Linked DNA regions of Drosophila melanogaster. The protein of the gene in region 1 interacts with the protein of each later gene in a pairwise test. Each region holds a gene or a part of one and is shown on either strand. Other genes may lie near its edges.

What was found.
Region 2: the proteins of S6kII (region 1) and CG18301 interact in a two-hybrid assay, tested with the Drosophila melanogaster proteins (one large-scale study listed by BioGRID).

What each region holds. Positions count from the first base shown.
Region 1 is NC_004354.4:22,528,031-22,536,069, reverse strand, and holds the start of S6kII (ribosomal protein S6 kinase II), read right to left. Parts: upstream 6,107-8,039; 5' UTR 5,720-6,106; coding exon 3,568-5,719; intron 3,215-3,567; coding exon 2,631-3,214; 3' UTR 1-2,630. Other genes in the region: CG17600 (uncharacterized protein), read right to left, coding at 6,679-6,800, 6,858-7,328, 7,489-7,977.
Region 2 is NT_033779.5:10,529,930-10,534,270, reverse strand, and holds CG18301 (uncharacterized protein), read right to left. Parts: upstream 2,451-4,341; 5' UTR 2,420-2,450; coding exon 2,282-2,419; intron 1,937-2,281; coding exon 1,759-1,936; intron 1,703-1,758; coding exon 1,341-1,702; intron 1,286-1,340; coding exon 695-1,285; 3' UTR 624-694; downstream 1-623. Other genes in the region: Lip4 (lipase 4), read right to left, coding at 2,864-3,415, 3,596-3,957, 4,016-4,193.

The DNA.
Region 1 (8,039 bases):
TTATATTGAAAGATAAAAATCGAGCGAAATAATGAAAATGATTCACTTGCTGTCTTATACGACATTATAAATGTATTTTGGATATCCCAATTAGATCGAAACAATTCGAATTGGTTATTTGTTTTTCAATTAGGTTCCTTCTGCTTGGTTTGAAAAATTCAACTTAACAATAATTTCGAATCAGTTTCGTTGAATATGTTTATTAATTAAATGATTCATATCGGAATTCAATCATTTGAATGTATGTATAGTCTGGAAGCTGTTAAAATCTACTAAGAAAATATATTCACGCATTCATATATATGATTAAGATATATATGTATGTTCTTGGGGAATTTAGTCGAGAGTTGGCTTTAAAGTGGGTTGCTTGTATTGTATGCTTAAACTATCTGTTGTCTCTGTCCTTTTTGTGCAACCCGAACATTTTTGTAAGAGACCGTTCGGAATTATTGATAAATGATTACAGTTTTTATCATAGTAGGCCACTTTTGTATACATGAGTTTTAATCTAATCGCTGGATTAGATTTCTCATCAGCCCGTGGACTAAAATTCTTTTTCTGCCTGTCTCAACTTCGTTTTATAATTTGTGTATGAATCTGTTAAAAAACGAAGCAGGGAAACGACGTATCCCTTCAATTTGGTTGTCGTCATTTCAAAACAAGGTAATTAAGTATAAATCATTGCTGTAGACGCAACATATTTTGCAAAAGTTTATCGTGACAACTATTAGGCGAAATGTTCATCTCAAGATCCTTCTTAAATATTTTCTATATTATATGTCAATGTGTACACATTGTTTTCCCTCCGCAGCTAGCTAATTATATATGTACTTTAGGATAATCATACCATTTTCCCCCTCCAACTCCTTTTAATAACACCACGAAAATACAGTTTTATTCAAGGGATGTTATCCTTTTTTAAAAAATTTCTAAGTTTTACTAACCTTGTTTAGGTGGTGTAAATATGTATATGAAGTTATTGTTTTATTTTTGGTAGCAGTAAGTTCAGTAGTGGCACAGCACAATAATCCTTTAGCACACACACACATGCACTTACAAGAAGCACACACACAGCCTCTTATGCACACACACAAGCTCGCAAACAAGAAACTTCTGCTTTTCAAGTGGCATACATAGCTTCTAAGGATTCACATGGCTCTTCTACATAATTTATTCAATTTCGTTCCACTTTGCTTGTATTTTCTTTTTTTTTTTTTGTATATTTCCCTCTAGCATAATTTTAACAAGTTTTCCTTGGCAAAAATACAACAAAATTGGAATTGTCTTCGAAGAGTCGAAACAAGTTGTTGGGAACTGATGATCGTGCAGTTTTTAGAGAAACTAGCACAAACAAATGGAATTCTCTGCATTAACCCAAGTCGTTTATACGACGCTATCCTATTTGTATTCAGTACGAGTATGATGGAATATATCGCGGTTTCGGTTCTAAATCATCCAATGGTAAGTCGGAACTTTCTATATCTGGTTACAGCGCAAAAAGGTATATTGTTTGATATAATTTCTGTTGGAAGACGTTAGCAAACAAAATGGAAACCCAATTTGATGTTGTCACAACTGTTTCCCCGGCGTTATTACAACTAAACTGTGCGTTTCGCGACTGTAAGACAAGTTAGCAGGATTTACGTTTCTTAATTACAATTAAATAACAATATGCACCCTTGTGCAGTGTTGGAAAGAACGTCGGTTTTTATTGTTTAGGGAATTATTAATAAAATACTCTTTTCTAATATCCTTTGCCTTATAAACCCGAAAAGCACAGTTTCCGCTTTATGTACACATTCTGTATAATATGGTAGTTATGTTTATCTTTTGCTTAGTTTCATATTTCATTGTGCAAATTGACATTCCAAGTAAGAATTGTGGAAACTCTTGTGGTTTGATTTTCTTATCTTTCTACACAGTTTTTTTTGGGTTCTTTGTTCTTCCTTTATAGTTTGGCGAAAAAAGTTATTATTATATAAAAGGATTGCGGCTTTTATTCTTAATTTTTGTTTGTTTTGCTAATACTTTTTTCCATTTTTTTTTTCATTTTAATTAATTTAATTAAGCAACAATAACACGGTGATGTTGAAAAATTTAGCTACGATTAATTTAATTAAAAATATGTAAACTTGGGCGAGAGGCTTTTTTTTAATTTCCAGTTTGGGATAAATAATGTGGTTTCAGGAATCATCTGGGATGATCCTGGCGCCACATTCACACGCGCTCTCTAGGCCCTTGCTTTAGGATTCGTTATATAAATAGCTATATATAGATGTATATCAGTATTTGTATAGTTATATATATGTGTATATAGATGCCCCGCACAGTGCGTTATGGCCTTGGCATATTGGCATGCTTTCATATAAAATAAATAATTAACACTTGTCAAATACTTTAGGTTAGGCCGATTCCCCCAAAACCTAAACCACACGCAGCTTGGCGCTGCGGCAGCGTTGGCGAGGATTGCCCAGCGTTTGTGGATGTGAACCAAGCTTCTGCGCATTGTCCTTGACAAGACGACGCGGATTGGCACAGCAGCATTGGATTAGAATACTATAGATTCGGAAAAGTAGTCGGACTATCTGCCGCTTGGCCTGGCGCCGCGGACACCATGCAGCCGCCCAGGATTAGGAGTGCAGGTTGGCTCGATCTTTGGCCCGCCTCTTGGCGAGCATGGAAAGTTCTACGGGTCCCACATTCGCCGCCTGGGGTATGGCAATAGCCCGGAAAGTGGCATCAACAGCGCCTCTTAAGGCCATGGAGATGTGATTCTGCTGCTGCTGCTGGGCGCCCAGCGAAAGTTGGGATCCGGGCGCCACCGCATACTCTGTAAGCTGTACGCCGCCGGCGAATTGCTCCCGCAGCCAGTCGTGCTCAAGTATTCGCGCCGCCGTCGGCCGATTCTCCGGTACTATGTGTAGCATCTGACGCAAAAGTTCTTTGGCCGGCACACTGATCAGTGCCCAGCGACTGCTTGTGAAGTCAATTTGTCCTGATCCGATGCGCTTCAGTATTACGTCCGGTGAATCATTTGGAGTGCTGGCGAAAGGCGTCCGGCCGGATAACATGATGTAAAGCAGCACACCGAGCGACCAGATGTCGCAAGCCAGGTCATAGCCCTGTCTCTTTAGAACCTCGGGAGCCACAAAATTGGCTGTGTAGCATGGCGTCATCAGGAGGCCGTTGTCCGCGCGCAGCTGCTTCGCGAAACCTAAGCGGAAATCGGAAGGTTACTCCTGCTCTACCAACAAGAAATACTCGCACAGAAAAATATATAGCCTTGCAGAAATAAATGCTTTCTGAATTTAAATATTATCAAATGATTTCAATTGCAATAGGATGGAACTTTGGCTAAATAAGATCTTAAAATGAAAAACCTTCTGTTTGGAGAAAAGAAACCTTTAAAATTGCAAATAACAAAGTAACTTAGAAAACAAATAATAGTTAAAGGAATTAAAAATTACGAAAGTTTAGCTTTTAAAGTGAATCATGTTTGTCAGCAATTGGAAAATTTACTGCAAGGCTATAATAAAATATATTTAACTAGTTCCGCTCCGCACTCACCCAAATCGCAGAGCTTTAGGGTCTCGGGAGTTTGCCGCATACTGGCATATATCATATTTGAAGGCTTAAGATCTCGATGGACCACGCCATGTTCATGGAGATATGCTACCGCAGATGCAATTGTCCTTAACACCGCGCTGGCCTCACTCTCGCACATCTGGCCCACGGCAAGTATCCGATCGAGAAGCTCGCCACCCTTAAGCAGCTCCATCACAAGATATGCGGACCCCGCATCCTCGTAAACAGAGTACAGAGTGACGATATTTGGGTGGTTGCCGTACCTCAGCATAATCTCCACCTCCTCCCAACAATCGGCAGAAGTGGATGTGGATGCTGCGGCCACAGCTGCCTTTTCGATTACTTTTACTGCGTAATGTTTCTTGGAGGCTCGATGCTCGCACAACCGACAAACTGAAAAGGTTCCACGTCCCAGTTCTTGCAGTAGATTATATTCCGCATGGAAGTTTCCGGGAAGAACACCAGGTAATGTTCGAGGGGCTCCCACTGGAGCAGCAGGAATAGGAGCTATACTATGCAGAGGACTGGCGCTGGTGGAGCACATATTCGAGCCAGCACACTGACCTTCCAGAAGGACAGGAGCCACAAAGCTGAACCCGCGGAAGATCTCATGGGCAGATGCGGAGATCGGGCCACCCGGAGAATCCCTGGGGGACTTTGAGGTGTACTCCACATCAAAGTAAAAGGCATCGTCACGGCTAACCGCCGGTATGAAAGGCGGACGCACCTGCTTTCGTTCTAATCTCACCCAGTCGATGGTGGCAAAAAAGCAGTGCGCCTTGATGTCCAGAATTCCTTGGGCACCCGCACCCAAACGATTCTGGGGGTTTCTTTTGAAGAGAGCACGTAGCAGGGATTGCGCCTCTGGCGACAAATTCTCCGGCATGCCCAGCTTACTTCTAAGGATCTGATTCATAGTCTCTTGGCGGGTTTGGCCATGAAAGGGTAAATTCCCCGTTAACATTTCGTACATGAGCACCCCGAAACTCCACCAATCAGCGGCAAAATCGTGTCCCTTTCGGTTCACGATCTCCGGCGCCATGTATTCTACGGTTCCACAAAAGCTATATGTTTTTGAGCCATCCAAAGGCTGCTTGGATAGACCAAAGTCCGTCAAGGCTATATGGCCATGCTCGTCCAGTAGAATATTTTCCGGTTTCAGATCCCTGTAGATAATGCCCAATGTGTGTAGGTGATTCATAGCTAGCGCCAGTTCCGCTAAATAGAACTTGACATCTTCTTCCGTAAACATTACTTCTTTGGATAGACGGGTAAACAGATCACCGCCACGAAGAAAATCCAGTATCAAGTAGAGTTTTCCGGGAGTTTGGAAGGCATAGTGAAGACGTACGATGAAAGCATGACCCACGTCCGCTAGTATTTTTCGTTCATTTGTGCTCCTTACGCGATCTTTTACTTTTAGGGTGGCCTTTTTGAGCACCTTCATGGCATAGAGTGTTCCTGCATCTTTGCCTATGATCTTTCGCACTAGAAACACCTTTCCAAAGCTACCTTCGCCCAGAACCCGTAGGAGCTCGAACTGGGAAGGATCGGCCTTGTCGTGACCCTCCTTGATGACTTCCTTAAGCTCGAATTCGTTTTCTGTTTCATATAGGGGCTCGGTGTCTTCTAAATCAGGTGCACTTCGCCCAGTAGCCCCTTCTCTCCTACCGCCAGTTTCCACGCCTCCCTGGGACTCGGAATCACTCAGCTCCATAAGTTCTGGCGGCGGGCACAAGGTTCGATGCGTCGGCCTTTTCCTAGCGGAATCCAAGTCTGCTGTTGGTGAGATGTGATGCTGCTCGAGGGCCGCTTGCAGAGCAGATTGCTGTTGCACCTGTTGCAGCTGCTGGCGGCGTTGCGATGATGTCACAGTGGTCACCGAGGAAGTGACACCGCTGTTGCCTCCGCCACTCTCATCGTCCTCGGTGGGCGTGTGCTCCATGGGCGTGACCGCCAGGCTGCTGCAGCCGGACGAGGTAATTTGCATGCGCTGGCGCAGCTGCAGACCCAATCCGCTGCTGCTGCATTGCTGCTCCGCATTGTTGCTGCTGCTGGTGGAGGACACATGCTGCTGCTGCTGCTGCTGCTGAGGCTGCTGGCGGAGATCCTTTTGCGAATCGGCCAGCGGCATGACTTCGGTGGCTGCTAGCGTTGTGAGGCAACTGCTCCTAGCGGTTCCTTTGTTTCCAGATCCTGATGCACAATGCTAGAGCCCGAGTTCCCCCTGCGTTTCCAACTCCTCCTGCTGCTCCTCCTCCACCGAACTCTCCCTACTTCCGATTTCACTTTTCTTTTTTATTACTTCCGCTGCGTGGGCGTCGCAGTCGACTGCGCTGTTGCCTCTCCGGATTTCTCTGGTTTCCCTGCTGCTCCTACGGCCAACAAGCAGCGCTTTCCTAATGCGCCCACGTTTCGTACGCCGTCTGCTTTACTATCCGCTTCGCAATCCGCACAGCTGTGTTGCTTCTTATCACTATTATTTACACATTCACAATAAAGTTTTTTTAGAGCTGCAAAAAAATCGATGTTACCATCGATTACATCGATAGTTTCAGTTTTCCGAAAACATCGATTTACTTTTTGCAGCCGATGTTTTTACTGTGCGTATTCAGCAAATTTTTGTTTACACTTTTAATACATTCTTTCGGTTTTAAAAGTCTATATAACTCAATTAAAAAAAAAAAAACATATAAATATAGTTTTATTTGAGAATGATTTGGCCCGTGTGACCGTGTCTAGCAATATACCAAACGCGAAAAATACCAATTCATTACGAAAACGTCGTCACGAAACAAGTTATCTTGTGTAAACCGTCTAAAAACCGTTATTATAAATTTCTATATCCCTTTTATATTGATTTCCGGAAACTTTGCTAAATAAATACAACGGTTTTGCAGACTTACTTACTTATATTAGCCGCAACATTCCAAATTCAATTGGTAAAAAACTAATGGATATCGTACAAGCGCTTTTAAAAACAATAAAAAAAAAAACATTGTGCTTATAGATTCAGTATTATTATTGCTTCAAAAGTGGACAACAACCACTTTTCATATATAAAAGTAGGAGTAGTAGGAGTAGCTTACTTACTTAGTGCAAATCTGAAGGGCGCAACGATAGACGGATACAATACTGACCACAAAATGAAGAAACAGGGCAAAAATTAGGCCGCAGGCAGCGGAAACCTCGCTGTTGGTATCGATCAAGTCGAACTAGAATGGATGAAACCATTAAAAAAACATGCCTCAATGCGAAGAGCCCGGCTTTACCTGTTCACCCTTTTGCTCCGCCATCCTGTTGAGGTCCCTTGACAATCCCACGCCGGAAATAGCCAGAGCCAGGGTGCTGCTGGCGATGCAGACCAAACTGAGGGCCAAAAACGCTGTCTGGGTTTTGCGCATGCTCACCACTCCAAGGGAGCCCGTAACGGCTGCTATCAATCCCGTCCAGATGCCGCATCCCGCCAGTGAGAGCGCTGCCTCTCGGACGATCAGAAGTGATCCCAGGGCCACCAGCGATATGGCCAGGAGCAACTGGAGAGTGCCCAACACTATTTGCAGTGGAAATGCCGAGCAGCATTCATTGCTCGCCTTGCGCTTGCGCCGATCTTTCGAGGAAAGCGATGAGCCACTGCCTCCACCCTCGCTGCCCTCCTTGTACTTAATAAATTCCGGTGGACAGCGCTGTTTACGACTGATCCTGGAGTCCAAAGTGGTGGCCCCACTCTTAGTGCCATTCACCTGCACAGAAGAAAAAATGTGTTTGGTACAATATTCGATTGTCTGAGGATTAATGAGAGCAAGGCAGTACAGAAATGGACAATTAAAGATTCTCTAGCCCTATTAGGTGATTCAACTGATACAAATTGATTAATTTTGGTTGACTTTTTGTAGGACCTACCTGGTTTGGTTGCCGCGAAGCAATAGCTTCCTGCAGCTGTTGTTTGAACTCTTGGTGCGAAATAAGATTGGGCTTATTATCGTCATCATTGTTTGCCTGGGATTTTTGGGCATCCAAGTCTAGGGCGGCGGATAGGAGTTTCACCGCCGGCGGCTTCTCATCGTAGACAGGACTCGAATAGATGTGACTTTGGGCATCCTGGCGCGCCTGCTCCTGGTCCTCCTGCTGTTTTCGATTCTCATCCCGTTGAAGCATGCCGATTTGCGAGTTGGTCAGACTACCGCCCGATCCCGCCAAGTTCGTGGTATTCGTGCTATGTTCGATGGTGGTCACCACCTGATGGAGTTCCTCAGGATTCAGGCTGCGATCCACAATGGTATCCATGCTGCCGGTGGTGGAATCATGCGAATCAATGGTGCGGGCCGGCGATGCCGAGTGGCGGCCATTGAAATCTTCGCCGCCAGGCTGCTGATTACTGGTCTCTGTCATTTCTGCTGATTGGCTGAGATGATTGGGTTATGATGATCGGTGATGTCACTGATTCATTGACA
Region 2 (4,341 bases), on another chromosome or scaffold:
AAGCGGCTAATTTAAGTTGGCGATGCTAGTTAGTCGCCCCCTCCTTGACCCGATTAGATCTCACGTGAATCAGGGCAATCAATATGCATAAAATAGCAATCTCTCATTGTTTCGAATATATTAAACGAGTTTTCCCAGCACGGTGTGTGTGTGTGTGTGTGTGTGTGTGGAAATGGAAGTGGATATAACAACAGCTTGACAGTTGGATAAGGTCGTGTAAAATTGATGTGAAAGCTGAATAGAGCGCATTGGTAAACTGATAAATCACATATAATTGTTAACAGTCATAGAATTTGAAGCTAATAAAGTTTGAACGAAACCGGTTTCCAAGCGAAAATAATTATTTAGCTAACACGCTCCTAAATTATGCGATTAAGGCAGTTCAAATAAATAAATGTGAGGCTATTAAATTAAATCCAATGGAAGTGACTTTATAGCCGATAACTATTTTTATTATTCAACCGGGTAAAGAAATTGTGAATAAAAAAAATTATTGAATATATAATAAATTTTATGCAAATACGTTTATTGAATATATTTGTTATAATCATATCGGTATAACTTGTTGTCTTCTGCAACTGCTGATAAACATTCTTTATAAATAAAATGAGTAAATACTGTTTAGATACAAAGACGAATGCTTTTATTTGATAGTTTTTGTAAAATTCCTTTCATTTACATTTGAAAACATTGATTAGAATCGATTTACAAATACAGTTGTGATACTATCGCCATCATTGTAGGAGGAGTATGGAACAACTGATTGCATAACTCCAAGCATTCGATTCCACAGAATTCTCTTTGCATCTCTGCCCCAGACCAGATCGAAGTGGTTAAAGTTTTCATTCGGAACGAGATACTTTTCCACCACATTGGGCAACCTGTTGAAAAGCATGTCCACATCTTCCGGCGGAGCTATCCAATCGTTTTTGGCATAATAGATTGCCACCTTGGCCTTGACTTTCTCCAGTTCATAAGGCGGTGGGGACAGGCTGCCATAATGCAGGAAGTTCAACAGTCCGTAGTCAAACTGCTGGAATTTCCCAGAGTTCCTCAGCTGGCCGTAGTGGTGCATCTGCCTGATGGATGCACCGGCCGGAGTGTGACCCACTACGATCGGCAACATCGTTTGGTTCACTTGCTGGCCATTGAAACCGAAAAGAATAAAGAAGAGACTCTGACAGACACTGCTGGAAATGATATCCCGGCAGGCATAACGCTTGAACTGATCAATCACACTGTTGCTGGGCAGGAACTCATTGTAGCCAGCCGCGCTTAGGAAGGACTAAAACCAGATATTAGTTAAAATGTATAAAAGTGTAAACAAATCTTAAACGTACGGCAACTGCAGTATCCTGAGAGGCCAACAAATTCACAATGGGACTACGGCAATGGGACAGGAAGGCCACTGGAGCCAATGCCTGCATCATAACGATCTTTTCCATGTACTCTGGTCTTTCGCTGGCCAAAATCCAGAAGATAGTTGATCCCTGGGAGTGACCAATGTAGTGCAACTGACCGAATCCAGATTGCATCAGTATGTAATCAATGATGGCAGGCAGATCGAAAATGCCCATCTCATGGAACGAAAAGTTCCAGAAATCGGAGTCTTCGGCGGAGTAACGAACATGGCGTTTCGTATAGGTATTACCCCGCACATTGGCCATCCAGACGTCGTAGCCCTGCTCGTACAACATGTATCCTTTGGAAGAAAATCATTCTGAGTGCACTTAAAAAACGAATGAAATTCGATTGTACCTAAGGAACTGGAAGGACCCATCATCACCCAGGTATCGGAACTGTCCATTAGTCCGTGGACCAGCAGCACAGGCAGGGCTCCAGGACGTGCGATCCTGAAGAGTCCCAATAAGTAGCCATCGTCACTCTGCACTGTGTAATTCTCCGCCGGGTATCCATATTTGGAAATCAATTGTATCTGCAAAAACAGGAGAAACAAACACGGCTTAATATAACTATTCGCTAGAGATTTGCCCTTAAATACTTTGAGTGTACGTAGTATTGAGTGTACGTAGTATTTAGAATACATGAGATTATAAAACTATGACCAATCAGCGAGTAATCCGACCTTTATAGTAAGAGCTATAACCTAGAAAGCTATATATGTACTTACACTCACACAAATTGTGTCTATATCTACAGATGTTTTATAAGTCGAAATATAATGCACTATATTAATCTAGATTTTTAGATCTGGATAAACTTCCTATGCTTTATTCCAAATGTTACTAATCGTTGGAACCCGAATGATTTTTGAACTTACCGTATTCAAGTGTGCATCTTCTAAAACTGATGAAGGTATAGCCAGTTGAAAAGGATTGAAAAATGCATTGGCTTCCAGCTGGAATAGGCCCAAAAAGAAGGTCCATATAAGAAATTTCGAAGACGATGATAGAGACATCTGACTTTATTAGAGACAAACTTTACTAATCCGATGTATACAAGTTCCAAGTGGAAACTGAAGCAAGTAAAATTTTGGGATACTAAAAAAGATTGTACGTAGGCAATAAAAGTGCAACACTTTAACCTATGAATAAAATTTACATTTACCGCTTGGGTCTCAACTTAAATACTTTCGGAAATAAATATCATTCATGTAACTTAAGCAAAAAGTTTGTTGCTTAGCAAAATCGAATTAAAAGATATATACTAATTTTCATATCAAAAAATAGGAATAGAAAAGATGGGAATTAATATTAAAAATGTATTAATTGTAAGTTGTTTTTATTGGCTTTTATCGTTGTAAAATTGTTGTAAATCGTCTTAGTTTCTACTAAACAATAAATACCTAACTAATAATAATATACTGTGAATAACTAAATTATAACCATAGTTCTATTCCCCTTTAGATAATTGAATTCTCATGATTTCGCATTATTTCCAGCATTCGATCCCACAAAAGTTCCCGGGCATCGATGCCCCAAATGAAATCCAAGTGGTTGAACTCCTTGTCGTCCACCAGATATTTCTCCACGACATTGGGCAGCTTGCGGTTCAGCATTTCCACATCCTCCGGCGGAGCCAGCCAATCGTTTTGGCCATAATATAGTGCCACCTTGGCCCGAACATTCTCCAGGTGGTAGGATGGCGGGTCAATGGTTCCGTAGATCCAGTGGTTTCTGAGCCATCCGTGATCATACTGCCGGAAACCGCCAGATCTGTTGAGCTGTCCAAAATGCTGCATCTGCTTGGTGGAGGCTCCGGCCGGAGAATGACCCACGATTACCGGCAGCATAGTCTCGTTCAGCTGGAGCTTGTCGAATCCGGTGGTCAGGAAGATGACGTTTGAACAAATCTCTTTCGTAATAGTGGTCTCGTCGCAGATGATCCGGTTGAACATGCTGATGAACTCATTCTTAGGCAAAAACTCGTGAACGCCAATCAGCTTGAGGACCAACTAAAATATTAAAATAATATAAGTTAACATGAACAAATTGAATGAGAAGAGAAGGAGAAAGATGTTTTGCACTGGATCGTGTTTATAATAAACAATGATTAAATTTACATTAAATTTGGATGTATTCCACTGCAAAAACGCTCTTTGAAAGGATGGGATAATTAGGATGGGGTAACTTACGCTCACCGATAGATGCCACTCGGCCAGGAAGTTGACCACCGGACTGCGGCAGTGCTTGAGGAATGCCACCGGTGCCAATCCCTGCATCAGAATGATCTTGTCCATATACTCGGGCTTCTCGCTGGCCATGATCCAGAACACAACGGTTCCCTGGGAGTGACCAATGTAGTGCAATTGGCTTACGCCCGTGGAATTGAGGATGTAGTCCATTGTGGCGGGTATATCATGCTTTCCCATCTCGTGGAATGTAAAGTCCCAGAACTTGGCATGGTGGGTGCTATACTTAACATGCTTTCTCGAGTACGTATTGCCACGAACATTGGCCATCCAGACATCGTACCCCTGATCGTAGAGCAGGTAACCTTTGGAACAGAGCAACGCAATCAGCATGGGACATTTGGAGATAGCCTATGATCTTACCAAGTCCCTTGTTCGGTCCCATCATCACCCAAGTGGCTGAGCTATCCAGTAGTCCGTGCACCAGAAGCACTGGCGTTGCTCCCGGTCTAGCGATCCTGTGCAAGGTGAGGATGTATCCATCATCCGTCTCCAAGGTGTGATTCTCCGCCGGGTAGCCGTACTTTTTTATCAGACTGTACTGCAGAAGGGAAAAGAGACGAGGTTATTACAATTGTACTAAGAACAACAAATTTTCTAAGTGTAAGTTTCTATCAGCGTAATCGTTAATTTAACGATTAAATTGATATGTCAATTTTCAATAATGTAATTACTTTTCTTAATTATTA